Danio rerio: one gene and its partner. The protein of the gene in region 2 purifies or fractionates together with the protein of the main gene of each other region. This does not show direct contact. Links are inferred from orthologs where the notes say so. Each region holds a gene or a part of one and is shown on either strand. Other genes may lie near its edges. The genes, in order: tmem63ba and cxcr4b.

The links.
Region 1: the proteins of cxcr4b (region 2) and tmem63ba purify together in Homo sapiens (co-immunoprecipitation; 3 studies listed by BioGRID and IntAct, with this or other methods). This does not show direct contact. The link is inferred for Danio rerio from reciprocal best matches to the Homo sapiens genes CXCR4 and TMEM63B.

Annotation. Positions count from the first base shown.
Region 1 is NC_133188.1:50,471,561-50,487,737, reverse strand, and holds part of tmem63ba (CSC1-like protein 2), read right to left. Parts: intron 13,849-16,177; coding exon 13,715-13,848; intron 13,321-13,714; coding exon 13,183-13,320; intron 10,853-13,182; coding exon 10,699-10,852; intron 9,458-10,698; coding exon 9,351-9,457; intron 7,511-9,350; coding exon 7,424-7,510; intron 6,803-7,423; coding exon 6,737-6,802; intron 6,545-6,736; coding exon 6,382-6,544; intron 6,279-6,381; coding exon 6,173-6,278; intron 5,862-6,172; coding exon 5,694-5,861; intron 4,161-5,693; coding exon 4,045-4,160; intron 3,965-4,044; coding exon 3,902-3,964; intron 3,741-3,901; coding exon 3,588-3,740; 3' UTR 1-3,587. UniProt on the Homo sapiens protein: Mechanosensitive cation channel with low conductance and high activation threshold. Osmosensitive cation channel preferentially activated by hypotonic stress.
Region 2 is NC_133184.1:10,805,362-10,821,990, forward strand, and holds cxcr4b (C-X-C chemokine receptor type 4b), read left to right. Parts: upstream 1-14,103; 5' UTR 14,104-14,142; coding exon 14,143-14,157; intron 14,158-14,511; coding exon 14,512-15,558; 3' UTR 15,559-16,076; downstream 16,077-16,629.

The DNA of each region.
Region 1 (16,177 bases), on a different chromosome or scaffold from region 2:
AGGGGAGGTGATGGTGATTTTAAAGCAAGCACTCAGGCACAGCCTTTGTCTGCTCATTTCCGAAAGGGAAAAACTCTGAAGATATCTTGTTTCTGCACTTTTACATTGAACAAAAAAAATGCAATATGTTATTAATCGGAGATCGTAGGAAAATCATATGAACTAAATTTTAAAAGTGGTCATTAAACGGGTGATTTAACTAGTTTTTGTTCTTGTTTTAATCCAGATTCAACCACTAAATGATGCATAAACCCAGTTCACAACTGCAAGCAAGCAGCTTGTAAATGCACACAGGTAAGAACCACCAGTTCCAGTTCTCTTGTAGAAATGCCAAGGAAAACACCACCATAGCAATAAAGAAGGCCATATTAAGGACACATGACCCAATGAGAGTGTTGCTAGATTTGATGTTATACTGTTTCCCATGTCATTTTTTACTGTATTTATGAGTAGTAAAGCATGTTAGCTGATCAAATAACAGTTAGTGTCTATACTTGTTAAAGAAACCAAATCAACAAACCTGATGAAAGCATTGCTATCATACCCATGCATAACAAAAAGAAAAACATATTCACGTTCAGCAGCAAATCCTTATGTCCGCATTGGGGATTTGCTGTGCATCTCGCTACAGTATCCAGTTATTGACAACATTCCACAGTAGAGCAACATGATCCAAAGTTGGTCCATTTGATTCAGACAGCAGTATCGCGCATTAGCAGTGTGATAGTAGTTACATTTAAACTGTTGAAACACTGGATATGCTGAAGACGGAAGGGTGGACAGGAGATGCTTTTGACCTTTAAGAGTTCCAGAGATTTGAGTCTGTCAGACGCTCTAAATAGTGGCTTTTCCAGTTCAAGTATATTACGGTGAGAGAGTTAGTGTTCGGCGGCTGTTTTCCCCTCACGGTCTGTTAAATCAGAGCTTCATCATCCTGTTTTTTTTTTTCCCGACATAACCCAATTCAAGAGGAACTAGCAGTGGCTTTTATGTTAAATACATTCACTTTAATAGAGATATGAAATTGCATGATTTTTTTTGTCTAATCTTAAAATACTTTATGATGTAGTGCTATTTCAGTTGACCCAAGGAAAATATTTGGTTTCTAAAGCTTGAGCATTTATAATAATATAGTCAAGCCTGAAATTATTAACACCCCTGGCAAATTCTGATTTAAAGGTAAAGTTCAATTGTAAATAAAAGCTGTGAAATGTTTATTTTCTACAATGATGTCTCTTGTACATCGTCTTATCTCATTATCATCTTATTATGTGTGATTTCAGGTTACTCACTGAGTAAATGTAACTTAAGGAATAATAATACTAATAACTTATATAAGTTATAACTTACTATATATAACTTCTATAAAGGAATAACTTAAGAAATGATACTTTTAAGGAAAAGGTACTTACTGAATAGTCAGAATTTGCCAGGGCTATGAATCATTTAGGGCTTGACTGTATAAAATTTATTACAATATGAGATACAATTTGTGATTATGAAATGTTTTAGGGCTCTCTGTTTTCTGTACTATAATTGGATACTTAACTCTACTTAATGGACAGCTTAAAAGTAAATGAATGCACATTAATACATTTGACATCACAATTTCCTGGTATAGTTCACAGAAAAATGAAAAATCTGTCATTCTTCATTACTTATCCTCTACTTGTTGCAAGTCAATTGAGTTTCTTTCAGAGAAACAGCCAATGACTTCTATGGTATTTTTTTCTATCCTACTATTGATGTAAATAGCTGCTGGCTTCCATCATACTTCAGAATTTATAAGAAAGTTTAGAACTATTTCATACTGAGAAAATTGTATTTTATTTATGGGTGAACTGTATGGTGGCTGAGAGAGCTTAATGTGCTGCAATTTAAGAAAACATTACAAAAACGACAGCAAATTAAGAAAATTTCTTCAGTTGTTTGAATGCACGTGTGCTGCATTTTCTCACAACGCAAACAATTTACGAAAGCGCACTGCATTTTCTCACAATGCAAACAAATTAATAAAATGCATTGCATTTTCTCACAATGCAAACAATTTACAAAAACGTGCTGCATTTTCTTACAACATTTTTAAATAGCATGAAACACAACGGAAACGTTTTAAGAGAACCTAAAATGTGACGAACCTGGCTATTAAGTTATGGTTATTCAGACTAATAAAAAATAATATATATCTATTTTCATTTTTATGTTTTATTAATTTGTTTTCATTGTGTGAAAATGCTGTGTTTTCGTAAATTGTTGCGTTGGGTGAAAACGCAGCATGTTTTTTAAAATTCGTTTGAGTTGTGAGAAAACGCAGTGCATTTTTGCTCATTTTTGTGTTGTGTGAAAATGCAGCACGTTTTGTTAATTTGTTTGCGTTGTGGGAAAATGCAGCACGGTTTGTCAATTTTTTTTGTGTTATGGGAAAATGCAGCACGTTTTTGTAAATTGTTGCGTTGTGTGAAAATGCAGGCGTTTTCGTAAATTGTGAGAAAATGCAGCATGTTTTCTTGGTTTGTGTTACGTGAAAATGCAGCGTGTTTAATTAATTTGTTTGTGTTATGTGAAAATGCAGCGTGTTTAATTAATTTGTTTGTTATGTGAAAATGCAGCGTGTTTAATTAATTTGTTATGTGAAAATGCAGCGTGTTTAATTAATTTGTGCTACATAAAAATGCAGAGCATTTTATTAATTTGTTTGTTACATGAAAATTCAGCAAGTTTTATTAATTTGTTTGTTACATGAAAATGTAGCGCGTTATTAATTTATTTGTGTTATGTGAAAATGCAGTGTGTTTTCGTTAATTGTTACGTTGTGTGAATGCAGGCGTTTTCGTAAACTGTTGCGTTGTGTGAAAATGCAGCGCATTTTATTAATGTTTGAGTTGTGTGAAAATGCAGCAAGTTTTATTGATTTGTTTGCGTTGTAGGAAAATGCAGCAAGTTTTATTGATTTATTTGCGTTGTAGGAAAATGCAGCACTGTTGTGTATGCGTTGTGAGGAGGATCTTTTCTTATTTTGTGTGCAATTTTTGTAATTGCATGTGTTTTCTTAAATGCAACACGTTAAGCTCTCGACTATCTTAGAACTGTCCTTTATACTGTAATTGTTAAAGTCTGTTGCAATCTACCTATTTTTACTTGTAATTGTCACCAAATAAGTAATCTTTTAATGCAAAAGATTTAAGGGTGAAATCTGTAAGCAAATATATTATTATAAAACATTACTGGCCAACTGATACAGCACTACAGCTGTCATAATTCATTTTTTTGCTAATCATTTATATTTTTGGTCTTACTGACTAAACATGCATTGTAACGGCAGGAAACTCTGTACCTACCAAATCCAGGACAAACAATGTGAGGATGAATTATGAAACTATGATGAACAATATTGGAGTACAATCACAAGCCACTCTCCAGGTTCTTGACAATTGGCCATCCTGTCTCCAAACATTAAAGATAAAGGAGTGTTTGAGCTGTCAGCTGGGATGGACTCACACACAGTTAGTGTAGTGTATCTCCGTTTGGTTATGTGGGGAGTCCTGCTAGTTTCTCTCAGTTCAGCACATGCCGTGGCCCGGCCTGGGTCACTGGTGCACTTCGTTTTCAATTAGACTGTCCTCTCCTGACTGGAAGTCACCCTCGGTCACCCCTTCCTCGTCCTGCGATGACCCTTGACCCTGGTCACTTCCGGTCTCGTCTGAGTTTGGGTCCTGTAGCACTTGAGCAATGTACGTCTGCTGTTGATTTAAAAAAAAAAAAACAGTGCAGAATGTGTAAAGCAGATAGAAAACATCAGACAGGACAACATAGTAGTGCGTCAATTAGGGCTGCACAAAACAGTTGAAGAATTATTAGCTCCCCTGAGAATATATAAACATCCCTGAGGGTTAAAACTTACCATAGACTTGACCGGTGGGGATGAACCTCGCAGTCGTCCATTGTCCACACCATCCATGTCAATCTGCAGAGAATTCAATCACATTTGGGTTTATAATTCTGGCCTTTATGATTTCTTAAAATCATAATCAACCTGTTTCTGACCTTGTAATTGTGCGCGCTGAGGTATTTGAAATGACCGAAGACTATATGCGAGAGGCAAATAATGATGGTGATGATCAGAACCACAAAAGTAAACATGGATGTCGGAGCACCAAATCCTGTCAGATTGAAAAAAAGACAAGCAAGATTGAAAAATCATATTACAGATACGCCAAAAATCTGCCTGTACTTTTTGCTACTTTTAGCACTGCTGTATTTTTAGAAACATACTGTAACTGCATCTTGAATAGGGCTGCACAGTATTGGAAAAAACTTTAATATTATTACATATTCACCAGGTGACTTGAACATCTATTTTTAAAAAGCATTCATCATTTTTGAAAAGGAATAATTGTTTTAGATTGATTGGAATGATATGTAGAGCACTGCATCTGCATAAAATATAATTAATTACATTCGATAAATGCAACTGAGGCAAAGATACAGGTCACACTTTACAATGGGGTTTTATTAGTTAATGTATTTACTAACTAATTATAAACGATACTCGTACAGCATTTATTACAAGTGAACACGAACTAACAATGAACAACTTTATTTAAACAAACAATGTAATAAATGTATTGTTCATTGTGTATATGTTAGTGAATACACTACCTGACAAAAGTCTTGTCACCTATCCAAGTTTTAGGAACAACAAACAATAACTTGACTTCTAGTTGATCATTTGGTCTCAGAAGAGGGTTATATTAAAGGCAAAGGCCTCTAGATGACGCTTATTTGGTCAAAATTAAATATGATCCAGCCTTGATGTTTAATGATTTAATTAGGACAGTAAGGTCTGTCTTTGCTTAGACAAAAGTCTTGTCACTTAACCGAAATAGTGTCCAGTATAGAATATAAAGTCATGCTGCAGTGCAAACAGAATGAATATTGTGTCTGACTCCATCATGAGCTTGGAGGACTGCATCCATACATCTCTGCAATGACTCAAATCACTGATTAATAAAGTCATCTGGAATGGCAAAGAAAGCGTTCCTGCAGGACTCCCAGAGCTCATCAAGATTCTTTGGATTCATCTTCAATGATTCCTCCTTCATCTTACCCCAGACATGCTCAATAACGTTCATGTCTGGTGACTGGGCTGACTAATCCTGGAGCAACTTCTTTGCTTTCAGGAGCTTTGATGAAGAGGCTGAAGTATGAGAAGGAGCGCTATCCTGCTAAAGAAATTGCCCTCTCCTGTGGTTTGTAATGTAATGGGCAGCACAAATGTCTTGATACTTCAGGCTGTTGATGTTGCCATCCAGTGTGCACATCTCTCGCACGCCCTCATACTGAATGTAACCCCAAACCATGATTTTTCCTTCACTAAACTTGACTGATTTCTGTGAGAATCTTGGGTCCATGTGTGTTCTAGTAGGTCTTCTGCAGTATTTGCGATGATTGGGATGCAGCTCAATAGAAAAATCCACCTTCTTTTCCAAATGATCAACTAGAAGTCAAGTTATTTGTTGATCCTACAACTCGGGTCGATGACAAGACTTTTGTCAGGTAGTGTAGTGTCTGACCAACTGTAATCAAGACTCAACCCTGCAGAGCTTGCAATGTTGATTGATGCTAAAACTTTGTTGTGCAGCCCTTATCCAGAGCATGTCTACAATCAGGCAGAACACAGAGACCGTTCTTACCTTGACGGACAGTAGAGAAGAAGAGCAACCAGAAGATGCAGAGTATAGGTGCTGCCACCACCTGGTTGACAGCTCCAGAGTGGATTTTCTTATCCAGTTTGGAGGGCAAGTAGGCATAATACATATTATACCGGTCTACCAGATGCTTCAGAAGCATGTACATCAATCCTGCGGGTAAAAATATACAATTATTTATTTTTTTCATTCATGTAATGAAGACTAAAACTCGCATGATTCCACACCTAGTCATGCCGTCATCAAAATACACCTTTGTTTGTTGTGAATATGCACCCTCTAGTGGCCAAAACACATACTAGTTTGTTAGTTAGTTTATTTATATAGCACATTTTTTACAACACAACGTTGCCCAAAGTGCTGAACACAATCAATACTAAACAAAGTAACACCTACATCACATACATAACAATACTGAGCCTTTAAATAATACCTCAGTGTAGGTTAATTAATTATTTACTCACCAAATGGTACAATAATTGGACAGGTGATGCTGTAGGTCATGACCACAGTGAAGACATTCATCATCCAAGCATAAGCAGCTCCAAACTGGAACTCATAAGCTTGATGCTGTAACAAAATGCATTTAATAGAAGCAGAATGAGAAATTCAGAAACAAAGGAGTGAATACAGTACATACATTTAAATGAGATAAACTCTAAACTACACAGACCTTCTTTACATTGCGCCTTTCTGCAGCAGAGCGCGCCAGACACAGCCGGATCATGTACATGAGGAAATAAGGAATGCGTAACAGGTCCATGGCGTTACCAATGAAGGCAGACGCAATAACATAGTTCACAAAGAAAGCTCCATTATCTGGCAGGAAGACACACCTAACAGCCAGGAAAAAGATCATTAAAACAGAGATGAGGGGAATTTTTATTTTTATTGAAGTTTTTATTGCAAAGCTACAATTCACAACATCAGTAGACATTTGTCACTTTTCTAGCTTTTCCAGTTTAACTTCCCAAATCAGGGGATGAAAGGGGACGATTTTAATGCTGCAATTCCTGATGTGGACTTACCTGAATCGGATTGTTGCCTCATCAAGGAATTTCTTATCAAAAAGCCAGCGGAAGAAAAGATCCAAACTGCATTTGGGGAAGAAATCATGTTGAGTGTTTAATACAATTTAGAACCAGTTCAACAAAACTAACACAGCCTCCAAAATAACAAAAATAAATAAATAAACATTTTATTTTTTCCAATACCCATGTAGTGATAAAATACAGTATTTGCATTTGAAAGTGTTTTTGTAATATACACAGATTTAAACTAGCATTTAACAACGACTCTTATCAGGTTGTTTATTCAGGAAAATAACATTTTTATACTCCTTTAAGCATAAAATTATGTTATTATTATGATGCAAATGATTACTGTAAAACAGGAAGGTAATAATTAACACATATCTAATTAACATCTCTCATTCAAGAGGGAAAAATTCACTCAGTTACCACTTAGCATTTCTGATGGCAAATGTAAAGAAACACCTATACTAACTTCTTTTTTTTCAAATACCCATGAGCATATGATATGCTTTTTAGTAACAAAATACAGTATCTGCATATGAAAATGTTTTTGTAATATACGCAGATTTAAACTTAGCATATAACAAAGACTCTTATCAGGTTGCTTATTCAGGAAAATTAACGTTTTACACTCCTTTTAGCATAGATAGTTTTCTATGTACACCAGTGGTTATTAATTACCTGCTCAATCCAAGAGATGGCAATAGCAGAACCATGAAGATGAGGAAGGTGTAGCACTTGTGCATGGTTGTTCTGTTCTCTCCAGATCTGAAAGGCAAAGGTCCAACACATTTTCAGCTTTTAGCACCCTTATGCGTGTGCTAGGCAGAAAATAGTTTAGTATAGAGCTGCACGATATTGGAAAAATCTGATATAGAGATATTTTAATAAACATTGTGATATGTTTACAGTTTCACAAGATGGTTTGAATAGCACTATTTGACAGTTTTCGGGGAAGTATTGACAGTATTGAGGAACATACATTTAATAATCACAACGTAAAAAAGCTTTTCTTACTTTACTTTGTCTTGTTTCTAGTGCAAATATTTGAGTAAAAATATTGTTTCCACCTACAAAAGTAATATCAATATATATATATATATATATATATATATATATATATATATATATATATATATATATATAGGTTTATATATAGGGTAAGCAAAATAATGGGGTAAGCAAAATAATCTAGTATGCTTTTGAAATGTAGATATTTGGACCAGAAACAAGACAAAAATTAGAAGAAAACCACTCACTGGCCACTTTATTAGGTACACCTTATTAGTACTGGGTTGGACCCCATTGTTCCTTTAGAACTGCATTAATCCTTCGTGGCGTAGACTCAACAAGGTACTGGAAATATTCCTCAGAGATTTTGGTCCATATTGACTTGATATCATCACACAGTTGCTGCGTATATGTTGGCTGCACATCCATGATGCACACCACATCCCAAAGGTGCTCCATTGGATTGTGATCTCGTGACTGTGGAGGTCATGTGAGTACAGTTATCTTATTGTCATGTTCAAGAAACCAGTCTGAGATGATTCACGCTTTATGACATGGTGCGTTATTCTGCTGGAAGTAACAGCAACAATACTCAGGTAGGCTGTGGCGTTGACATGATGCTCATTTGGTGCTAATGGGCCCAAAGTGTGCCAAGAAAATATCCCCCACACCATTACACCACCAGCCTGAACCAATTATACAAGGCAGGATGGATCCATGCTTTCATGTTGTTAATGCCAAATTCTGACCCTACCATCCAAATATCGCAGCAGAAATCGAGACTCATCAGACCAGGCAATGTTTTTCCAATCTTCTATTGTATGATTTTGGTGAGTTTGTGTGAATTGTAGCCTCAGTTTCCTGTTCATAGCTGACAGGAGTGGCACCCGTTTTGATCTTCTGCTGCTGTAGCCCATCCGCCTCAAGGTTGGACGTGTTGTGGGTTCAAAGATGCTTTTCTGCAGACCTCGGTTGTAACAAGTGGTTAGAGGTACTGTTGTCTTTCGATCAGCTGGAACCAGTCTGGCCATTCTCCTCTGACCTCTGGCATCAACAAGGCATTTGTGCCCACAGAACTGCCGCTCACTTGATATTTTCTCTTTTTCAGACCATTCTCTGTAAACCCTAGAGATTGTGCATGATAATCCCACAAGATCAGCAGTTTCTGAGCCAGTCTGCCACCAACATCCATGCCACATTCAAAGTCACTTAAATTACCTTTCTTCTCCATTTTGATGCTCGCTTTGAACTGCAGCAGATCGTCTTGACCATGTTTACATGCCTAAATGCATTGAGTTGCTCCCATGTGACCACCATCACATGTGACAAATTTTCATTAACAAGCAGTGGGACAGGTGTACCTAATAAAGTGGCCGGTGAGTGTATATAAATGTATAAATACTTAAATACTGTACAATTAATTTCTGTTACACCTCAAAACATCATAATTTTTTTGTGCTCAAATGTTTGAAACGAATGAAATGCTGAGTCACAGAACTTAAAAGCAATCTATTGTGCAGCCCTAGTTTAGTTGCTATAAATGGAGACCATCTCCGGGTCAATTAGGTTAACTGATATACAGGGATTGGGATTGTACCGTGTCCAGTGGGCCTCAAAAAAGGCGGAGTAGTAGACGATGGTAGGGAGGAGGGCCGAAAAGCACCACAACAGCAGGGTAGGGAAGAACTGAGTGACGATGGGGTTCTGGAGGAACAGACACAGGGAAACGGAGGGAGGTTTGAGATGACTGACAGAATCATGACTCAAGAGCATTGTGTTTATTAGAGCCATGGCGACTGGCGAACAATTATTTGAGAAATCAATTCTGCAACGATGCTGAGATTTTCAAAGTGCATCCCTATTTTGTATTTTTAATGGATTCTGACATTAGTTTTTAACAGCAGACGGCGCTGTAGGCTAGTTTTCAACAGCAGACGGCGCTCAAGGCTAGTTTTTAACAGCAGACGGTGCTCTAGGCTAGTTTTCAACAGCAGATGGTGCTCTAGGCTAGTTCAGCGCTCTAGGCTAGTTTTCAACAGCAGACGGCGCTCTAGGTTAGTTTTTAACAGCAGCAACGCTCTAGGCTAGTTTTTAACAGCAGACGGCGCTCTAGGCTAGTTCAGCGCTCTAGGCTAGTTTTCAACAGCAGATGGCGCTCTAGGCTAGTACGGCGCTCTAGGCTAGTTTTCAACAGCAGATGGCGCTCTAGGCTAGTTCGACGCTCTAGGCTAGTTTTAACAGCAGACGGTGCTCTAGGCTAGCTTTTAACAGCAGACGGCGCTCTAGGCTAGTTTTCAACAGCAGACGGCGCTCTAGGCTGGCTAGTTTTCAACAGCAGACGGCGCTCTAGGTTAGTTTTTAACAGCAGCAACGCTGTAGGCTAGTTTTTAACAGCAGACGGCGCTCTAGGCTAGTTTTTAACAGCAGACGACGCTCTAAGCTAGTTTTCAACAGCAGACGGCACTCTAGGCTAGTTTTCAACAGCAGACGGCGCTCTAGGCTAGTTTTCAACAGCAGACGGCGCTCTAGGCTAGTTTTCAACAGCAGACGGCGCTCTAGGCTAGTTTTTAATAGCAGATGGCACTCTAGGTTAGTTTTTAACAGCAGACGGCGCTCTAGGCTAGTTTTTAAACAGCAGATGTCACTCTAGGCTAGTTTTAATAACAGACAGCACTCTAGGCTAGTTTTTGACCATGCATTCAAATGCTACGAGAAGGAGTCATGTAAAATGTTATATGTATATATTTTGTATTGGATGCTTGCAGAGCATGACTGTTTGTAAAGCATACAGCACCATCTGCTGTTAAAAACTGAGCACAGAATTGATTCAAAAGTGAATAGTGATGGATTTTGAGAATCTTAGAGTTAATTCAAAATCAATTTCTCAAACAGTTTTTCACTACCGCGTGAGTTTTCATTACAACCTGGACAAACAGACTCCTTACATTCAGGTATTCCACAGGTTTAGTGACGTTGAACTTGTCCATCGTGGAGATGATGATAGCAGGGGTGGTGAGGAAGAAGAGGAGGAGGAAGAGAAAGCAGTTGATGACAAAGCAGCGGACCCACCAGTTCAGGCCACTAATGGACAAATGCTCCCTGTGGAGAACAAGGTATAAGTTACAATTACCACAATGAATGATACAACTGTTATAAGCATATCCAACCATAAGGTAAGACAGAGAGTACAATCAAATTTATTTATGGTCATTTCAGCATGTGGTGGCTTTAAGTTGGCAAGCTCAATACAGAAAAAATATTACGGTAACATTTTAGTTTAAGTCACTCTTCACTACTGGCTTATTACCTGCCTTTTATTAATATACTAACTGTAAATTAGTAGCTATAATGAATGATCTTGTTTTACATCCCTAATCTTAGCCAATACCTAAACCCAACTGCGACCTTACTGACAATTAATTAGCAGTTTATTGAGCTATATGTTTTGTTAATGGTTTGTTAATAGCATGAATTGTGACTTAAAATAAAGTGTTACCTATATATTACTTAATAATAATAATAATGACAACTTTATACATTAATAAAGGCACTTTTTGTTGTTGTGAAGAATTGTAAACTATACCATATTAGCCAGTAATATCATAAAAGTACATCCTAACTTCACCTGCAAAACTAGAATATACAAAGCAATTTATACTATATAACATATCTCGGCTCTGTGATTATTTACTGTACACTGTTTGACCTAATATCCATATAATTGGACAGATCTATCTATTTAAGGGATAGTTCACCCAAAACTGAAAATTGTCATCATTTTCTCATCCTTCATTTGTCACAAACCTGTTTTAGTTTCTTTTTACTGTTGAACTGTTGAAAGAAGTTATTTTAAAAGATGTTGGAAACTGTTTCCTATTGTTAACTATTTCCTTTGACAGGAAAAGCCGCTATATCCCGAGAACCAATCAGAAGGCATGAATCGAATCACGTTTTCAATGTACAGCGTGCTGATATGCCAGCTTAATGAGGAGACTGTTTTATTCCGCTTTCGATTTCGGTTTTAAAAGAGAGTTTGATGAACTGGATGAACCTGTCCGGCTGTCAGTGAATGGCAAATGAAAATGTCCCTTACCTCAAAACTCTGTGAATTATAAGAAAAAGAAAACACACTGTACAGTCGAAAGTGTAGCATGCATTCATAACGTTTTTTGCGCAGTGACGCTACTTTGAATGAGTAGAATTTGCCATACATTAAACTGCAACTGCATTTCATTAAAGACAGAGTTAAGATGCCGTTCTTTTATCCCACATGGATGAAATGAGGATAAACAAGAGACCAAGACCTTGGTGGGGATGGATGGATGCATGAATGAATGAATGACAGCTTTTCAAATTGTCTGAGAGGCATCCCCTTTTTGCCCAGTAGGCCTACCTTGTGTTTTATTTGCTAATTTAAGCTATTTTTAAAAGATGAATTTAATGTATGAAACTGTACATTTATATTAGCCTTCTTTATAATACCCATCCGTCTGATAAGCTTTTTATATTAATGGACAATGCACAGATATTGATGTTTCATCATGTTTTACACTACATTATTTAGTAATTGTAAGTTTAGCTTACAATGTTTGCAATGTTTACATTGCTGTACTTACATTAAATCTAAATCTTAAATATCAGAAATGACAAGAGATTGTTCAGATTGAATTACTTAACAGATTTCATACATTCATTTTCCTTCTGCTTTTTCCCTGGTTTATCACAGCGGAATGAACCACCACTTGACGCATTTATATATTTTTAATTGTAGGTAGTTTGTGTAATGTGTTTTATGCTTGGTAAAATAATTTCTAATTGCATCTTTAGGGATTTTTAACTAAATAAACTGTCTTGTGCCAATAGGTGGATTTAGAGGTTTTTGCAAAAAAGAACAAGTGGATTTAGCATTTTTTGGCGCAAAAGAAAATTTACATTGTTAAAAACCAAAGAATTATCTAAAGTGAGATTTTTGAAAAACGTGTATTTTATTTACTATATAATAATCTTATCATTACATATAAAATTAAACTTTTAAACCTAATTAGAAGAGCCTGATAGAAAATGCTCAATTACAAGAAAAGAGGTCTGATGGATTTAAAGGGTTTTGCATCTGAACTCTTCAAATACTCGTCAAAATACCTTCTTTTGTGTTCAACAGAAAAAAGAACCACTTTTTAATTTTGGGGTGAACTTTCTCTTTAAGTACTATATATGTCCAACTTTTTTTTTTTTACAAAGTGTACACTAAGATAAAATGATTGATTGATTTCAAATTGACGTGCATAAAAAATCTGGTGTAGATGTCCAATTATGGTCTTTTATATCTAAGTGGACAGTTCCACAACAATATGGATTCTGGTTTATGCACAAAGTCAAGCACTATAATCATAAGGATCATTACTTGATGAGGTTTAGGAAAGGGATGTTACCAGTAAACATTTTGTGGATCTGGAGCATATGAGACCGTCCAGTTGTATGTGTGGAGTTGGCTGCTGAACGGGGAGGACTTTGGCTGTCGTCGACAGTGACAACCGTGACATTGACATGCGTTAAAATCTTTCAGGATGCTGGGAAGAGAAAAAAACAGAGATATTAATATTATTTTCCCTTTCAATAATAAATCCCAATGGAGACAGAATTGTATCAGAAGGTAACGATTTTAACATTCATTTGAGTTTTACTTCAGAGAATATAATGGCAAAACCTGATCATTTTCTCTTCTTTTATTTTAAATATCTTTACTGCATTTTAACTTTACACTTACATAGTACAGAAGTAAAACAGCAACAAACCAACAAATCAAACAAAAAAACTTCTCAGTATTTTAAATCAATATTTATGACCTATCTTCTTATTCATCAATCAACTCCACCACATTTTAGGAACAAACTGAAAGGTCAATTTCAGTACTTTTTGATTAGTGGTGTAACACACAGACACCAGAACATTACATAGACTTACAGGGCTGCCATGGCTTCATTCTGGAAGGTAACGAAGGCCATTCCCAGAGGTTTAGTGTTGACTTTTTCTCGTTCTTTTCTGTATTCTTCCTTCAGTTTGGCCTCAAGCTTAGTGTAGTAGTTCACAGCCTCTTCCTGCAGTGTGGATTAAAATGACCAAAGTCAGACATCACTACTTAAAGGTACAATGAAATTACAATAAAACTTTTTAGATGTTAGAATCAGTATTGTTCCTTTGTTTGCGATTTTACGATCGCTGAATCCAACGCAAAAATCAACAAAAAATTGCAAATTTTTGTGACCTTGCAAAATTCTTACTTGAAACGCAAAATAATTTCAAAAAATTTAAATAATCTCATAAAACATCAAATTCTAAACCATGCAATCAAATTATATTGAAATCAGTTTGCAATTAATAGTTTTACATGACTTAGATGTTTCGTACGCAGAATTGAGCGAATGTCATGGCATAAATTGGGTGTTTTTTGCGTTTGACGTGTTTAAGGCTGCAAATAAAAGTGGGAGCAAACATCTAACAAATGGAGCAATGAAACAGACAGAAAACAGCAAGCAGCTTACAATGATGGAGAATGGTTCAATGATGACGGCAGCTGGAAGTGACCAAATTGAAGGAAATTATATATATTTTTTCAATCCCAAAACTTCCACAAGTTTCTGGAAATCAACACCAAAAAGTCTGTAGTTTTTAATTGCAAAAATCACAAAAAAAATCGTGGTCTGCCACAGTATAAGCTAGTGCACACCAAAACAATGACAAAACACACATTTAGGAGACATGAAATTGATATAAAGATGCAAAGCTTGCAGTTTGTCACGTCCGCCTAAATCAGGGGTTCCCAAACTCAGTCCTGGAAGGCTGGTGTCCTACAGATTTTAGCTCCAACTTGCCTCAACACACCTGCACGGATGTTTCTAGCCTAGTAAGAGCTTGATTAGCTGCCCCAGGTGTGTCTGATTGGGGTTGGAACTAAACTTTGCAGGACACCCGGCTCCCCAGGACAGAGTCTGGGCTCTCTTTGCCTAAATGGATCAATGGTGTTATTCACGTAACCTCATACTTTGGTTTCTCATCAAATCTTGACCAATCAAACGCTCTCTAATGTCTGACATCCCCCGCCCCCTTCAAGACACAAGTTTACATTTGATGTGCTTAAACTCAACCACTCCCACTGGCAGAGCGCTGATTAAACCAAACACTATTGGTTGTTTTTTTTCTTAAAAGGGGAGGAGCTACACTATATACCACTCACTCTTTATATTAGATTATGCCAAACATCAAATAAAAATGCACATTTCAAAGCACTCATGGCACCCTTAAATACATGTTGTCAAAAAGTCTTCAATAGAAGTGTCAAGGCTGGACATGAGACAGATGCTTTTGCTTTTCTATCAGCTCAAAACTCTCTAGTGATGTTTTTTCTTTGACCTTTGGCATTTTTGCTCACAGAACTGCCACTCATTGAAAGCGCTCTCTTTTTCTGACCATTCTCTGTAAACCCTAGAGATGTTTGTGCGTGGATCAGCAGTTTCTGAAATTCCCAACCAGCCCGTCTGGCACCGACAACCATGCCATATTCAGCCACTTAAATCAGTCCCTCCAGGATTGTGCAGGGACATTTCTTTGTATATTTGCTGCCTAAAATGACTCTCAAAATGTAATATTTATTTAAAGTCTTGTGATTTTTTCAAAATTTCAAAATCTCAAACCACTGAACTCACAATATTCTGGAGGGTTTTCTCCATTTCGATGCTTGATTTTATCTGGATATTGTCCTGACAAGCTGCTGCCTTATGATTGGCTGATGAGGTAATTACGTTAATGAGTAGTTGAACAGATGTAACGGTCCCATTTAATTCAGCTACATCCCAATGCTTTAAGTGAACAATTAAGCATATCATACAAGTTAGATTAGGGCAGCATTGTGGCTGAGTGGTTAGCACTGTCGACTCATAGCAAGAAGGTTGCTGGTTCGAGTCCCAGGTTGGGATTTCTGTGTGGAGTTTGCTTGTTCTTCACATGTTGGCATGGGTTTCTTCCAGGTGCTCCGGGTTCCCCCACAGTCCAAACATATGGGCTATAGGGGGAATTGAATAAACTAAACTGGACATAGTGTATGAGTGTGTGTTGGAATAGTTGGCGGTTCATTCCACTGTGGCGACCCCTGATAAATCAGCGACTAAGCTGAGGGAAAATGAATGAATAAATAAGCTAATGTAATGCCATGTCAGGAATGAAGGCTTTTTTTATGGCAAAAGAATGAATTAGAAACAAAAACAATTTTAAAAACAACAATATCGCTTTAAGTTTTTAAAAAAAAACTTCTGCAGTCATTCAAAGTGAGACAGTTTAATAAAAAAAATGTTGTACAAATTTTAAACAGTTAAGTAAAAGTCATCTAACTATTTATTTTTTACATGCCTGCAACAGCATGTTTTCCCCAGC
Region 2 (16,629 bases):
TTGTTGTTATTCTCTCCTTTTTTTGATAAGCATCATATGACAGAGGTGACATAGTGGGTCAGTGGTTAGCACTGTCGCCTCACAGTAAAAAGGTTGCTGGTTTGAGTCCCGGCTGAGTCATTTGGCATTTCTGTGTGGAGTTTGCATGTTCTCCCCATGTTCGCGTGGGTTTCCTCCAGGTGCTCTGGTTTCACGCGCAGTCCAAAGACATGCGCTATAGGTGAATTTAATCAAATAAATTGACTGTAGTGTATGAGTGTGAGTGTGAATGTATTTCTTAGTGCTGGGTTGCAGCTAGAAGGGCATCCGCTGTGTAAAATAAAAAACATTCTGCTAGATAAGTTGGCAGTTCATTCCTCTGCAGTGACCCCTGATGAATAAAGGGACTAAGCAGAAGGAAAATTAATGAATGAATTAGACGACAAGCTTTGTTAAATGTTAATTTAGAAGATAGCTAAATGTGAAAACATATCAAGACACATTTTTGTAAGTATATGTCTAGCCTGATCTCACAAGAAACGTAACCGTATTGGTCAAAAAGTGGCTAATTTGCACAATTTCATGCCATTTCATTCGTGTGAAAATGTAAATATTTTAAAGGAACTTGCCAAACCTCACCACTAAACCTCTCATTTCAAAGAGCATTCAACTGTTTTTTTAGCTGTTTATGTTCAGTTAATCCTTGTGTGTACTGTTCAAATTGACGACCCTTTTGTTATGTTGGTGGCTGTTTTTGCCACATTGACTTCCATTATAACATTTTTTGATTGCAAGGCCTTGACACCACATAATCATGATTTCTTTATTGTAAGCTTTTCCTGTTGGGAAGAGGTCAAATTTCTTATTTTACTGTAGATCATCAGTTCTCCATTAACCCTTTAGAAATGCCTGAGCAAAAAAAAAAAAAAAAAAAAGTTTATGGCATTTGTATGGAGTTCTATAGAGTATAACAACAAATTATTGTGTGTATGCATAAATCCACTTACTATGTTTACTATGTGCTGAGTATGCTCTCAAACACATCAGGGTAAATGTGCAAAAGCTCTCTCTCACTCACATTACACTCCATATAAATAGCAGATACTATGCTTTTTTTGCACCGTAAGTGATGATAAACAGTCAAAATGACTAATGTTACCTCTTCCCAACAGGGAAATCCACCAACAATAAAGAGTCATGGCTTTGCAAACAAAAATGTCAATATAAGGGAAGTCGATAGGGTAAAAATAGCCACCAACATAACGAAAGGGTAGTGAATTTGTCTAGTCTATTGTTTTTAAAAATTCCAAACCATTTTCCCAAAATATGTGTCAAAATAAGATTTGTTACCAAAAATCATTCCATTTGCTGAAACACATAGAAGGTTGTGGCCCAAATAAGCTCTAAATTTCAAGCAATTTTAAGACTACTTTTTAAAAACCAAATGTTACACACATACTGTTTGCTATATGGAATGCAAAAACTTTGAAACTCAATGTCTCAAAATCATTCAGAGCACAGATAGAACCCCTATAATTCCAAGGTGACAAAAGGTTAAGACAAAACTAACTATGATTACACAACAAGAATTACATCAAGACTGACATTATGACTTATTTTTGTGTGTATCTGTCCAGCTTAATCTCACAAAAAATGTAACTGTTTTACATACTGCCGAAAAGAAAAAGTGTCACCATATCCCGCCCAAAACCCTAACCATTCTAAGGGGATGAGCATATCATACTAAAATATACAAATGAGACTGCACACTGAAATCAAGAAGTTGCGAATTGTGTTGATTGGTCCATTTGAGGCCATATCTGAAACCCAAAGTTACCCACAGATGTTTTTCTCCTTCTCAGATTGCGTGTACAGAAGCCACATCATAAGACCTCGGTGTATCTCAATGTACTATCAAAGTCCTGGTTGATTTGCATTCTATGAATCACCAAGGATCACATTGTCAGCTAAAGAAAAACCTTCTTAAATGTCCTACTGATGAAAAAAAAAAGTCATCTACATTTTAGATGGCCTGAGGGTGAGCAAATGAACACACAATAACCATTTATTAAAGTAGTGAGAGCAATGCATTTAACTAGCAGGCCTAATCTAGGTGAAAGTTCTCTTTGTTTTGAAATTTGACATGACAAGCTAGCCCTGCTCTCCCATTGGTCACTTTTTTCACTTCACTATTGCACACCAAACCACAATTTAGTCGTTAGCGAAGGAGGGTAGGAACTTATCATGGAGAAACAGCGAACACCCTTCCCTTCAGACTTTATTTCATCCAAGAAATGCTTATGAGAGTCGCTGCTGTGGTTTGTTTTGGGCTATGAGCCAATGATGAATATAAATTTCAAGCAACACCCCAGGGGAAGTGTCACCATTTGAAATTTCATTTTACCCAACCTATTTTTTCCTTTTTCATTACCCCTTCTTTATTTTGCGAAGTCTTGTCAGGACGTGTGGGCCCAGAAAATGTGTCAGATTTTTTTTGTCTTTTCGTTCTTGCTCTCTCACTCCATGCAAACTGTAGTGCTTCCTGTTGCAAGTCAACACCACAGATCAGCACCCACACGAAGCGCATGGTGCAGCATGTGACTGCCTGTTTTACATGGTTTCACTGTAGCTCACGTGTAAACAACATGCTGCGAAAGTGAGAGTCAACATTTCTGATTGCAAACCGTGCATGGAGAGACTCAACTGTTCTCATTACTTCTCTGAGTCTATCTCTAAACATTTTTAAGGTATAACTAAGGCCTGCCCAACGAATTCTCTTGTGAATAAATGGTCATCTCCTCTAATTTCAAAGTGCTAAGCCATGACCTAATGCTATAAGAGGAAGAGCTTTCAAAAAGTCAATACGTCTGCCCCACACCCAAATAGGAAGCATAAGAAGGTGCCATTCGAAGATAAGGCAAACCTTTGTCTTTAAATATTTCCATTGTACAATCGTAAGACTTTGTTATTAAAAATTATATTAAGGCATTTCCTAAATGTATTTGGGATGTAATTATTATCTATAAATGTCTTTAAATAAGTTGCCTTTTCTTCATTTTGTCTTGTTTTTATCAAATGTCTAAACATTCTTCCATCAAGATGTTAAATAACACAATACATCAATATTAGGCCTGTTTTGATCAAACATTTTTTTACTTATAAATTAAGCTTCTGAACTTACTTTTGGTGCTTGTTTACTCATTTAAAATGAGTCAAAGCAACACAATTCTTAAGTTTTTTTTTTTTTTCCAGGACAACTTAATTGTTTTATGTTCAGTCCACTTAATTTTGTAAAAAATAATAAGTAGTAATTATAATAAGTAAATCATTATTTATTATAATAATAAATAAGTTAACGTAATCAATTTGGGTTGGGACAACATGAAACATATTTTACAGTGTTTGTTTCAAACAACTATAAAACAATATTCTGATCATTTTCTTTAACATGGAGTTAAATTTAAAGATATATCTGAAGAAATTTTAGAACAAGAAATGCTTCTTGAATGTATTAATTAAAATTGAATATATGTTGTTGTTGTTGTTTTTTTGGCATAAAAGATGTTTCATGTTTTCAAATATACTCAAAAACTGATTACTGCATCTTGTTCACACTACCTGTTTAAAATGAGCTGAAAGAACACTATTCATGTCATTTTTTTTAGCCAATTTATTTGTTTTTGTTCAGTTCACTTAAATTTGTAATGTTAACTTTTTGCGTTGTCCCTGCATTTTGAGATGGGCAAACATAAAGGAGTTGTGTTGGTCCAACTATCTGGTAAGGGGATTTGTAGTTCCCAACATGTTTACATGGGATTGAATAAAGAGAGGGAAAGGTTGACAATAAAAGTAATCTTAGGTGTTTAAAGTTCAGAGAAAGACTTGCTGGTGTTTAATCTTCACTTTAGTTTGAAGATTTAGAAGAGCTTCATGTAATGCTTTGAGTTTTAAGATTACCAACTTGCAGAAGCGCCCATGCTTTGGGTGATGGGCCAACATAAAGGAGTTGTGTTAGTCCAACTATCTGGTAAGGGGATTTGTAGTTCCCAACATGTTTACATGGGATGGCATCAAGAGAGGGAAATGTTGACAATAAAAGTAATTTTAGGTGTTTAAAGTTCAGAGAAAGACTTGCTGGTGTTTAATCTTCACTTTAGTTTGAAGATTTAGAAGAGCTTCATGTAATGCTTTGAGTTTTAAGATTACCAACTTGCAGAAGCGCCCATGCTTTGGGTGTTGGCAGCTTAATTAGCTAAAATGCAGTTTGTTGCTTTGCTCAGTGAGCAAAAACTGTCCTTAAATTAGTTCTGAGATCAGTGTCGATCAACTGTAAATGTAACTCATGAAATATGCTTAAAAATTTATTTTAGTTCAGGTAACTTCAAGAGATTTCAAAATGTGCGACACATAATAGTCATGTGTAAATAGTTTTTTTAGTTGGTGCTAAACATTTTTTTTTTTTTTTTTTTTTGCATGGAAATCGAGTTAATCCAATGAGTTATTGTTTTTGAGTAAACAGTGAATTCAAGAATTCATTTTTAGAAATCACAATTCCAGTGTTTTACCTTCAGAAGTGTTTGTCCTTTTTAGTGACAAGAAATTAGCTTTTCTGAACAGTTGTCAATATCTGAGAAACATCATGTTCTAAATGACAATATTTCTGTAAAATGCTGTCCGACCTCTATAAAAAAAAAAAAAAAAAAATATATATATATATATATATATATATATATATATATATATATATATATATATATATATATATATATATATATATATATATGTATATATATTATTTACATTTTACACAAACACATAATTAGTAAATGTGTACACTCTAAAACTGTTGGTTTTTATTTTTAAAACTCAAATTAATATCGAATATGGGTCAAATATGGACAAACCCATCCATTGGCTTTAAAGTTTTATATAAATTTAAATTTAAGGATTAACCCAAACCAGCATTTTTAGAGTGTAGGACCTGTTTTTTTTTCCCTGACACACACCTAAATTGAGAAACTTTATGATATATGAGCAACACACCATTTAGTCACGAAAGATGAAAAATATTCCCGGCTGGAACATGAATGGGCAAATCTTATCATGTCTTTCCCCTGGTTATGTTTCACTTGCTCTTGTTGAGGGGAGGTGGGTGAATCTGAAATATGCACAAACACAACCACAGAGATGCTGGAAGGAATTAGGCAACAGCCATCCAATATGCATTTCTGCATTAACAAATACAAAAAGGCATCATCAAACTAAGCATTGATATTTAAGGTGTTTTACGTAATGTTAAGTAATGTTTACGGCCCAATCAGATTGCGCACCAACTGAGAGCTTATATGTGAACATTTATATTTGATATTTCGAGAGTTTTAGAGACATATTTCCCTGCTGGAAATTTCTATTTCCTGCTGTCTTTCTTCCAATTGAGAAATCTCACAAGTCTTTTTTTTTTTTTTTTTTTTTACTTTTTGTAAATACAGTATTATTATTTCATAGCATTCTCAGTCCTACATAAAAAAATAAAAATAAATAAAGCCCATGAATGATTAGAACATAAATTTATTTTTATTGTGATGGATAATGCAAAGACTAGAAGTGAAATGTACTTTAAAACACACCAGGTTTACAAATACATGTAAATTAGTAATACTGACTGTAGCGTAGCCAAAAATGTGGCTTTTTGGTGGGTTTTAAACAGACATTTAGGCTACTTGGAACACAAAAACAAAACCACACATTAAACAATTTACTTAATCTCACCTGTATTGTATTTAAATTCAATCTAATTATTTATTTATTCATTAATTAATATATTATTTTTTTGCAGCTTAACTGCAACCCATCTCTGGGAAATATCCATACACAATCATTCACACTTATACACTATGGACAATTTAGCCTATCCAATTGACTTGTTTCAAATGTGTTTGGACTGTGGGGTACACCGGAGCACCGGGAGAAAACCCTGAACATTGAACATGGGGAAAACATGCAAACTTCACACGGAAATGCCAACTGACCCAGCCGAGGCTCGAACCAGCAATCTTCTTGCTGTGAGGCGACAACACTACCTACTGTGCCACCGCGTCGCCCCTTTATTTATTTATTTCATTTATATATCTTCTGTAATGAAAAGGGTTTTATTCATGAAACTCACCTCAGTCACTCTAATTAATGTTATAACCATTTTTCCATTATAAAAATTTTTTAATCAATTGCAGCTACTGTAATCATGTGATATTTAAATGTTAATTCTGTATTCAAAATTTAGACTAGCTACATTTGACTTTTAAATGTTAAAAAAAAAAAAAAAAAACAGGTTGACAAAATGTAAATCAGCCAGCTTGGGGTTTTCAGTGTCAGATCAAAGCAGAAAAAAAATCTCCACAGTCTTCACACAAACAGTTGGCTTGTAATTGCTGGAAACCCCCTAGCTCTGAATTTTAAGATTAATTATGTATCATTGCATATTTGCCAAAAAGCTCTATCTTATAAACCAGAGCTGATCCTTCAGCCCTCATCATATTATTATGAGTGTGATCCTTTTGCAGCATTGCTGACGGCCACGAATGAGCTGCGGCTGCAAAAAAAACAAGCATTGTTTACTCTCTGGAGGCTTTACACATTTCGTTCTTTATCTCCTCTGCATTCTTTTACCTTATTTCCATGCTTATTCCCTGCTCCTTAACTCCCTTGCCGCTCTTCACACTTTTTTTATTTGAATTCTAAACAGCGCACAGATCCTTTGTATTCAGGGTACAAACGAATTGTGTTTAATGCTCTCAGGACAGGGTATCTTATATTTCACAGGGGGGATTCTAGCGCTGGTTAGCGAAACACATCCTCCTGACCTGACCCTCACTCGCATAATTGAAAGAAAACAAAACACAGAGACATTGCCAGGTTAATAATTCAGTCTGAAGCGGCCTGTCAAAACCTGTTGAAACTTCCATGCTGGAGTTTGAGTCTGAATGCACTTCTGAGAGTGGTTTTATGAAAAATCTTGAGGAAAAATTGGCAGTTTTCTTGTGTAATGCTATGTTTTTTATTATTATTATTATTATTTTCTATGTAGAAGTATTACATCATACTGCATATTTTTGTTCAAAAAATGTGTCATTTCACTCATTTTTTTTTCTAATAACTTCAAATAATGCAAAGATAACTACCCAGCAAACAATTATGTGTTTAATAGACATTTAATAGACATCTAAATGTAGACAGCTTAGCTAAAACAGGTCTGTGAGTAAAAATCTAATAGACATCTAAAAATAGTACAAACTAGACATAGTCGTCAAATAGACAGATTAGACAGACTTTATATGTGTAGTCGATCTGTTTATTTGACGAGTAGTTTTGGCCTATTCTTAGACGTCTAGATTTTCGCTAACAGCCCAAGTTTAGCCTTGTTTTAGTCAAGACAACTATGTTTAGACGTCTACAGACATCTATTAGGCATTCTTTAAAGACAAAAAATTCTTACCTAGTATGGTGAAAATAATTTTACTATAAAAATATTTTCATTCAAAAATTGCTTGTGAATTTTACAGGTCTAGCTGGTGTAAGAGTATTTTGTTTATTATTTATTTATTTTTTACAAAAAAAATAAATAAATAAAAATATTAAAACTGTAAGTGAGAATAATTTTTTTGCATATATTAAATTGTGTAAATGAATCATTTTTATTCAGATATTGCTAGTATTTATTTTAGCAAACAACATTTTACATAATAAATTGGAAAAGATTGTGTAAACTATTTTACTCATATATTTGCAGAATTGCCCGAAAAAGTATAAAGAGTATAAAGACTGAAAAAAATAAATTCTTATAAAACATACTTCAGCAATTTTGTTTTTATATTATTTTCTACAGTTTGTGAAGAAAAAAAGTTTATTGAAAGAAAGAAAGAAAGAAAGAAAGAAAGAAAGAAAGAAAGAAAGAAAGATTTATATGATCAGTAGAGCAAAAAGAAAGCTCTAGACTTTTAAGTGTCTGAACTGCAAAAGATAGGATCAAGTGTTTATTGTTATTGGACACAGTTACATGATCCTTAAGGAAAAGAGCATAAAAATTCTCTCATGTCATCATCCGTCAGGGAACACTTCTACATCTACTCTTATTTGTCCCGAGTCACCTTCACTGCGTATCCATTACTCACCAGAGGCCCGAGCTGTTGAAGTTTCACAGGAACACAATGGATGGAGGAATCCCATCTGTATGTGACTCTGACTCCAAGAACTTTACTCAGACTCAGACACAACAACAAACAGAAATAAAAAAAATCACTGAAAGGGGGTTTATTTCAAATTACAAATACTTACAAATCAAATGTGTTCCATTATTTTTAACTTCTTTAGAATATAAACCAATTTCACTCAGATTTTGTGAGTACAATAAAATCTTCAAAACTGATTTAATATACTTACTTACTCACTCCCAGAGTCATTAATATCAAAGTTGATATGTAGCTGCACCACATTGCTGTTTCATAACATCTATTTTATGAGGTGGGTTGTTAGCCCAACGCTCAACCCCCAACTTGGAGGACAAAGACATACACACATACACTACAGACGATTTAGCCAATTCACCCGTACCGCATGTCTTTGGACTGTGGGGGAAACCGAAGCAAACCCCACACAAACATGGGGAGAACATGCAAACTCCACACTATACTGCTGGCCCAGACAGGGCTCAAACCAGTGACCTTCTTGCTGTGAGGCGACAGCACTACCCACTGCGCCACTGTGTTGCCCTGATTAAATATACATTTACCAAATACTGAAATACAAGTTATTTATTGCACCAAATTTACAAGCAGCATCTTTATTTAATTGTTTTATTAAAACAAAGCTCATGGACAGCACTGTATCTGACTATCACTTTAAGATCCAATATAGTGATATCTATTTTTTTCTTATTTATGACAGAATCAACATTATATTCAGTCATTCTGACAATTTTGTGTGCTTTATATATCTGTGTGAAATAAAGATAACTAAAAAATGCATCAGATGCTGTCTGAGGGCACTTCAGGTCACAGTGCAGTAAATGGTCAATGGTTTATTTTGTTATTAAGTAATTTTTTCAATTATTGTCACAGCTCATTGCATGTTATTCATGGTAATAATTAATCATAATTCTTATTTCTGGATGTGTTATTGTTGACTTTGGATGAGAAATTAAATGCAAAAACATATATTGTTTTGACTAAAATGTCAGATTATGTAATGTGTTTATGTGCTTCCTGCTAGCACATCTAAGAGGTGTAAATATGTTAACAGCCACAGTTGTGAATAGTAGTGTGACAGTTTGAACTGAAAACAATTCAATTGCAGATTAGTTCTAAATGCTGTTTCCCACCATGCAGTCAATATTATGACTGAGTATAAATATATACTTATGATAAATACTAAAAGTTTTAGCCTAGTATATGGTTAGTATAAATATTAACCCGAATAATACTAAAATAATGTATGAAGATTGTGTGTTAAGAATAATTAAACCACAAAAACATGATTAAACTGGTTAATAACTGAAGTGTTCATATGCAGAAACCTTCAAGTTAGATCTGGATTTTTTTTTAAATATGCATTTCTCTCAGCCTCCTTTGTTTATGTTCAGTTATTTCACATTAAAGGCTATGAAAATAACCTATTATTTTCCATTCATTAATTAATTTCCTCTCCATTTAAGAGGTCACCTCACTATTTCAGCCACAACCCAGTATTGAGAAACACCCATATCCACTCATTCACAGACACACTCATACATATGGACAATTCAGCTTATCCAATTCACCTATACTGCATGTCTTTGGACTGTGGGGGAAACCCAGAGGAAACCCACACGAACATGGGGTGAACATGCAAACTCCACATAGAAATGCCAACGAGCCCAGCTGGGACTCAAACAAGTGACATTCTTGCTGTGAGGCAACAATGCTAAAGACTGAGCCATATCCAGGTTAATAGAGAGGACCGGGAGAATTCTCTGTGGGCCGGTCCATATTTTGGCCGTGAGGGCCGGGCTGGTGTCATATCCTCCTGAGACCAAAATAAATCTTTTTTTCTTCTTTTTTTTGTGTGATTTCCTACATCCTTTGGTTTACAAAAAAATCTATAATTACGAGTTTTTACATTTTGTTTTTAATTTTAATTTTACAGGATGTCCACTGTAGTGGACCACAGGACGATTTCAGTTCGAAATGACCACCACTCAGACAACAAAACTGTACAGGATATGGCTGTAAAGAGATATTAATCCATATTAATGTAACAAAAACAAAAAAAAAACATTTTTTCCATTTGTATTGAAATTCCTGAAACAGATTAGTCTGAAAGAGAGCCGAACTCTCTTTTTTTCAGTCTTTATTTTATACATGTAGCTTAATATTTGTATTTATTTTTAATTTCAAGGTTTGGATGTTTATGAGCACTAATTCTTACAGAAAATAGATTCTGAACATTACATTGTGTTAACTGTTCAAATAAATCTTCACTGTAAAGTACTGATTTGAAAATGATGTTATTTTAATATAGTCAGTTGTGAACTGAAGTGGCCGGTCTAAGGTTTAAAACTCCATTGCTGAAAAGGTGTCCAACTCCGGCTCTGGCCATACCTCTATTCTTTTCCATACAAGTGAAATTAATGAACATGCACAGGGGAGCCAGGCAAAAATGCAGGAAAATTTCAGACAGCACTTAGAAGTTTTGCACCTGAACTCTTCAACTCTATCCTATATTTAACTTCAAGCTCTCCTATTTGCTTTATTTTTTTAAATCCATCCCACATAGGAAAATTTCTCTGGCCCAGCTCTGGCCCACACAATCAGGTTTTGCTTGGCCCACATGCCGCAGTGAATTACGGTACATGACTGGACCAAATCTGGCTTCCAGACAAGGGCCAAACACGGACCATATCTGGGCCAAGTCTCAGCCAAGTTAATAACTCATAACTGGGCCTGAACTGGGCCAGATAGGTTGGTGTGTCACGATCGCAATGAAATTGATAAACCCATAGAGTGATGCGCTGTAGGGCACGCTTTTTCTCAAAGTGACCTGATTGGTAGAATTTTTGTTTTTTACTCAAAAATGATTTTAGTGTATTTTAAATGTGAGTCAAGACTGGCCAATCTCACATGGCCCACTTATCAAATTTTTAAATCTGGGCCAAATACTACGTTTTTCATCTGGCCCAAATCTTGTGTGCCGCCTTAAAAACGGTGCCACCTCTGCCAAACCCGGGCCATGTTTGGCCCACATGCTGTATGCCAGTGCTGGTTGAATGCCTGCTGTGCCAGCTTTTTGCCAAATCTGGGCCAGAATTCTTTGCTACTAGGGATGCATGTTTCTTCATGACACTAACTAAATAAAAAGCAGCTGACATTGGCTATCAAGCTAATCGCACTTCATTAATTCATTTTCTTTTCAGCTTAATGAACCGCCAACTTATCCATGCAGCATATGTATTAAGCAGCGGACGCCCTTCCAGCTGCTACCGATCACTGACACTCCCGCAAATGCACAGAGACTCCCGGATGCCCGCGTAATCCCCCTGGTAACTTCTGGGAGACTTGGGATGTTTGGAATTTGGTCGTATTACATTTCCATAAAACACTGTGATATAACCGTGCTCAAATCGTATGGCTTTCTCACTACAATTGATCCACTTCAGAGTTTGTTTCATTTGAGCCGAGACCACCTCATTCAGGCAATCTCAGACGATTGTTTTGGCATGAATCTGAGCGGGACTGCTGAAATTTCATATGCCAAACGAACCGCGCTAACTGGGCAAACGAGACAGGTTCTGAAACAAAAGTCTATGTGTGAAAGCACCCAAAATTGGCTGTAGTGTATGTGAGAGTGTATGGGTGTTTCCCAGTACTAGGTTGCAGCTGGAAGGGCATCCGCTGCGTAAAGCATATGCTAGATGAGTTGATGGTTCATTTCACTGTGGCGACCCCAGATTATTAAAATAACTAAGCCAATAGAAAATGAATTAATAAATAATTAAAATATTAGCCAACTCTGAACTCGCATTCGGCAAACTCTCACAAATGAAATGATTAACTCCCTTAAATCAGCGCGTCATGTTTCAGAGAAATATGATCATCGTTAGGAGTCGCAGAGTTTGGATCTGTCAGGAAATGTTAGTTTAGGCTTATGATGGAGGCGACTGGGTGACCTTCTTCCTTCATCACTCACAATCAGAGCCCAGCATCAAATATATTGCAGGAAGGACCAGAGGAGAACCGTCATGCAGTAAATCACACTACAAAGCCTGATGTGTCCTCAAGTAACGGCCTTCACACTGCTCTTCACATGACGCGATAATAAACAAACTGCTGGGATTTCTGAGAGAGAAAGTCCACTACAGATGATCAGATGAATATGTGAGGGATCTTGTGAAGCCTTTAACACACAATAAACCCTGGCAGGGTGATCAGCACTTCAACACAACAAAGTGGCTTGTATTGCCCTTGAGGGAATTAATTTGTGATAATGACCTGCTGACTGCTCATTATCCCCTTTGTTGCACAGCTAATTAGCAAATAAATAAATAAATAAATTGACATCAAATAATACTTTGAATATAAAAGATATCTATCCGTCTGATTGTCTGTCTGTCTTTCCGTTTGTCTGCCTGTCTGTTCGTCCTTCTATTTATCTACCTTTTTCATTATCTATCTATCTATCTATCTATCTATCTATCTATCTATCTATCTATCTATCTATCTATCTATCTATCTATCTATCTATCTATCTATCTATCTATATATCTGTCTGTCTGTCTGTCTGTCTGTCTGTCTGTCTGTCTGTCTGTCTGTCTGTCTGTCTATCTAACTATCTATCTATCTATCTATCTATCTATCTATCTATCTATCTATCTATCTATCTATCTATCTATCTATCTATCTATCTATCTATCTATCTATCTATCTATCTATCTATCTATCTATCTATCTATCTATCTAACTATCTATCTATCTATCATATATCTATTATCTTTTTTTCATTTTCTATTTATCTATCTATCTATCTATCTATCTATCTATCTATCTATCTATCTATCTATCTATCTATCTATCTATCTATCTATCTATCTATCTATCTATCTATCTATCTATCTATCTATCTATCTATCATATATCTATTATCTTTTTTTCATTATCTATCTATCTATCTATCTATCTATCTATCTATCTATCTATCTATCTATCTATCTATCTATCTATCTATCTATCTATCTATCTATCTATCTATCTATCTATCTATCTATCTATCATCTTTTTTCATTATCTATCTGTCTAAGATGATAGCAATCTATAGTAAATAATACATTGTTTTCAAACCAAACTATAGTAATGTAGCCCACTTAAATTGATCTGGTGTTGTTTTTGTATAGTTGGTATGGAAACTGTGGTAGTAATCTTTGATCTGTTGTTTTGATTCTGCAGTTGCTATAGCAACACAACGAAACAGGAATATAAACAAATGACATGCTGTAGTTTTCTACAACAATAGGGTATACTATACTGGTACACTACAGTTTACTGTAGTAAAAACTAAAATAGGATATACTGCCTTTTTCTTTTTTCTCTTTTGTTTTTTTACAGTTGAACAGTTCTCTACAGTGCTGAAGCATTCATTAACAAAGTTGAAATACTATATGATTTACAATAAAATAGACTTTACTATAAAAATAGTTCAAAAACAGTTTTATTTTTTATAATTAGGCTACTATATCGTTTTTTTCATGTAGTAAAGAAAAGCAAATCGTCTTAAAAATATTTCTTCAAAACATTGTTTAATAGTGTTTTTCAAACCATGTTTTTTTTCTGTGCATAGGCTATTTTTGCTATTTAGCCCGAATAAACATGTAGATATTACGCTTCCTCTGTAAAATCCGCTCGAGCGCATGCATTTAACACAGTTTATTTTGACATGCCAGAGAGCTGCCGCTTACTCTCTCATCACCCCCCACACACCCACAACGCACAAGCGCCGCCTGCATCATGACCCCGCCCTGCTGAATAAAATTGGGCGTGTCTCAGGGAACGGAGGACTATTTAAATGCTGCTGTGAGAGGAGGGCGGTTGACTGAAGTGTGGAGACTTATTGCGCCTTTTTGAGCACACTTATAAGAACAAAATGGAATTTTACGATGTAAGTTGGCTTGTGATTAATTTATAACGCTGTGTTATCAGACATTCCATTGATAAGTATTATTAATAAGACTAGTTTAAGTGTATCATGTTTTATTACTTGCCCTAGGGTGTCACGTTTTACCATTCAGGCTCGTGTTTGGAAGCATTGGAAAATAACTATATATTTTTTTCAGTTATTTATTTATTTTTTGTCATTTATTATTAACCTTGTATTTGTATAAAACCATTTTACTTTTTTTTTGCATTTTGTTTTCTTGAATTATTATTATTTTTTGTTAGTATTATCGTAATAAAGTGGTATTTATATAAAAGTTAATCAAAATACTGATTTTTTTTCTTCTTTTTTCTGCAGAGCATCATTTTAGACAACAGCTCTGACTCCGGTTCTGGGGACTATGATGGAGAAGAACTTTGCGACCTCTCAGTCAGCAATGACTTCCAGAAGATCTTCCTCCCTACAGTATACGGGATTATATTTGTCCTAGGAATCATTGGCAATGGACTTGTGGTGCTTGTGATGGGCTTCCAGAAGAAGTCAAAGAACATGACAGACAAATACAGATTGCACCTTTCAATCGCAGACCTCCTGTTTGTCCTCACCCTGCCATTTTGGGCGGTCGATGCAGTCAGCGGGTGGCATTTTGGGGGATTTCTGTGCGTCACAGTCAACATGATCTACACTCTGAATTTGTACAGCAGCGTGCTCATCCTGGCATTCATCAGCCTGGACCGCTATCTTGCAGTAGTACGTGCCACAAACAGCCAAAACTTAAGGAAATTGCTTGCGGGAAGGGTGATCTACATTGGAGTTTGGCTTCCAGCGACTTTTTTCACCATTCCTGATCTGGTGTTTGCAAAAATCCACAATTCGAGCATGGGTACCATCTGCGAGCTTACTTACCCGCAGGAGGCCAATGTCATTTGGAAAGCAGTTTTCCGCTTCCAGCACATCATCATTGGCTTTTTGCTGCCTGGTTTGATCATTTTGACCTGTTACTGTATCATCATCTCAAAACTGTCCAAGAACTCCAAGGGTCAGACTCTAAAGAGGAAGGCACTGAAGACCACCGTCATCCTCATCCTCTGCTTCTTCATCTGCTGGTTGCCTTACTGTGCCGGCATCCTGGTGGACGCTTTGACTATGCTGAACGTCATATCTCACAGCTGTTTCCTGGAACAGGGTCTGGAGAAATGGATCTTCTTTACGGAGGCGCTGGCATATTTCCACTGCTGTCTCAACCCTATCCTTTATGCTTTCCTAGGCGTCAGGTTCAGTAAATCTGCCCGTAATGCTCTGAGCATCAGCAGTAGATCCAGTCACAAGATGCTGACCAAGAAAAGGGGGCCTATATCATCTGTATCTACTGAATCAGAGTCGTCCAGTGCACTGACGAGTTAGTGTGTGCATGTACACAAAAAAAGAAAAAAAAACTTTTCCACATGGATGATTAAGCTTATAAAAACAGGACTTTACTACAGTTTTTGTACATTGTAAAGTATTTTTGTGTTGATCTGATGACTTTTATTTTGTAAGACTTATTTTGTTTTTATTCAGCTTTAAAAAATATTTTAATTTTTTTATGTACATGTTTGTACTTTTATTGCCAGACCTAAAGGCTGAGCCTTGACAAAGTCTGTATTCTTGCTGAAGGTCTTATCAGGAATGTTAGCATAGTCTTTTGTTAGATTCCCAACGCGTAGTGTAAATTATTTGTACATAGTTCATTGTTTGCCATTGTGAATGTGTGTATGTGTGCACTTAGCTTTTCCAACTCAGTTTAGCTTTTTTATATTTATTAAAATGGTAGCTCACACTGTAAAAACTTTTAAAATGTTGAGTTTTGTAATTTAATTGTCACATTTTTGACGCATTTTAACTTCCATTTCATAATAAAACCTAAAAATCAACACTTTTAATGAGGTCTGATCTAGTGTTGTCTTACATCTCTCCAGTGGCCATTCTCACACACACACACACACAAACACACACACATACAGAAACACAGCCCCAATCTGTGAGTGGGGGTTGGTAGAGCTGAAGTGAAGGTCTGTCAAGTTACCAAAACAAAAGCTCCACCTGATCTCCCACTGAACAGAATGGTTGAGGAGAGGGTCTGTAATTTTAAGAACATCTGTGTTCTTTAGCGTTTTAAGCAACTGCTGATACAAGACACCCAGCAACCTACAAAGAGACAGAATTGGCCATCCTTTGGGTTTTCAGTTGTTGTATCATATAACATGAAAGAAATTAATATGGTAGTTAATTTAAACAAAATCTACAAAATGCCCATTTATGTATAATAAGTGTGAAAAAAAAATATTGCCGTTATTTTTTCCTTAGGATTTAAAGTATTATAGTAATTTCTTGTAGTATTGCAGTTAAAAAAATCTGAATAATGCAAATAGGGTGAAAAATTTTCATGAAAAATTAAAATTTGAAAAAAAAATTTGCACAAATGTACATATTAAA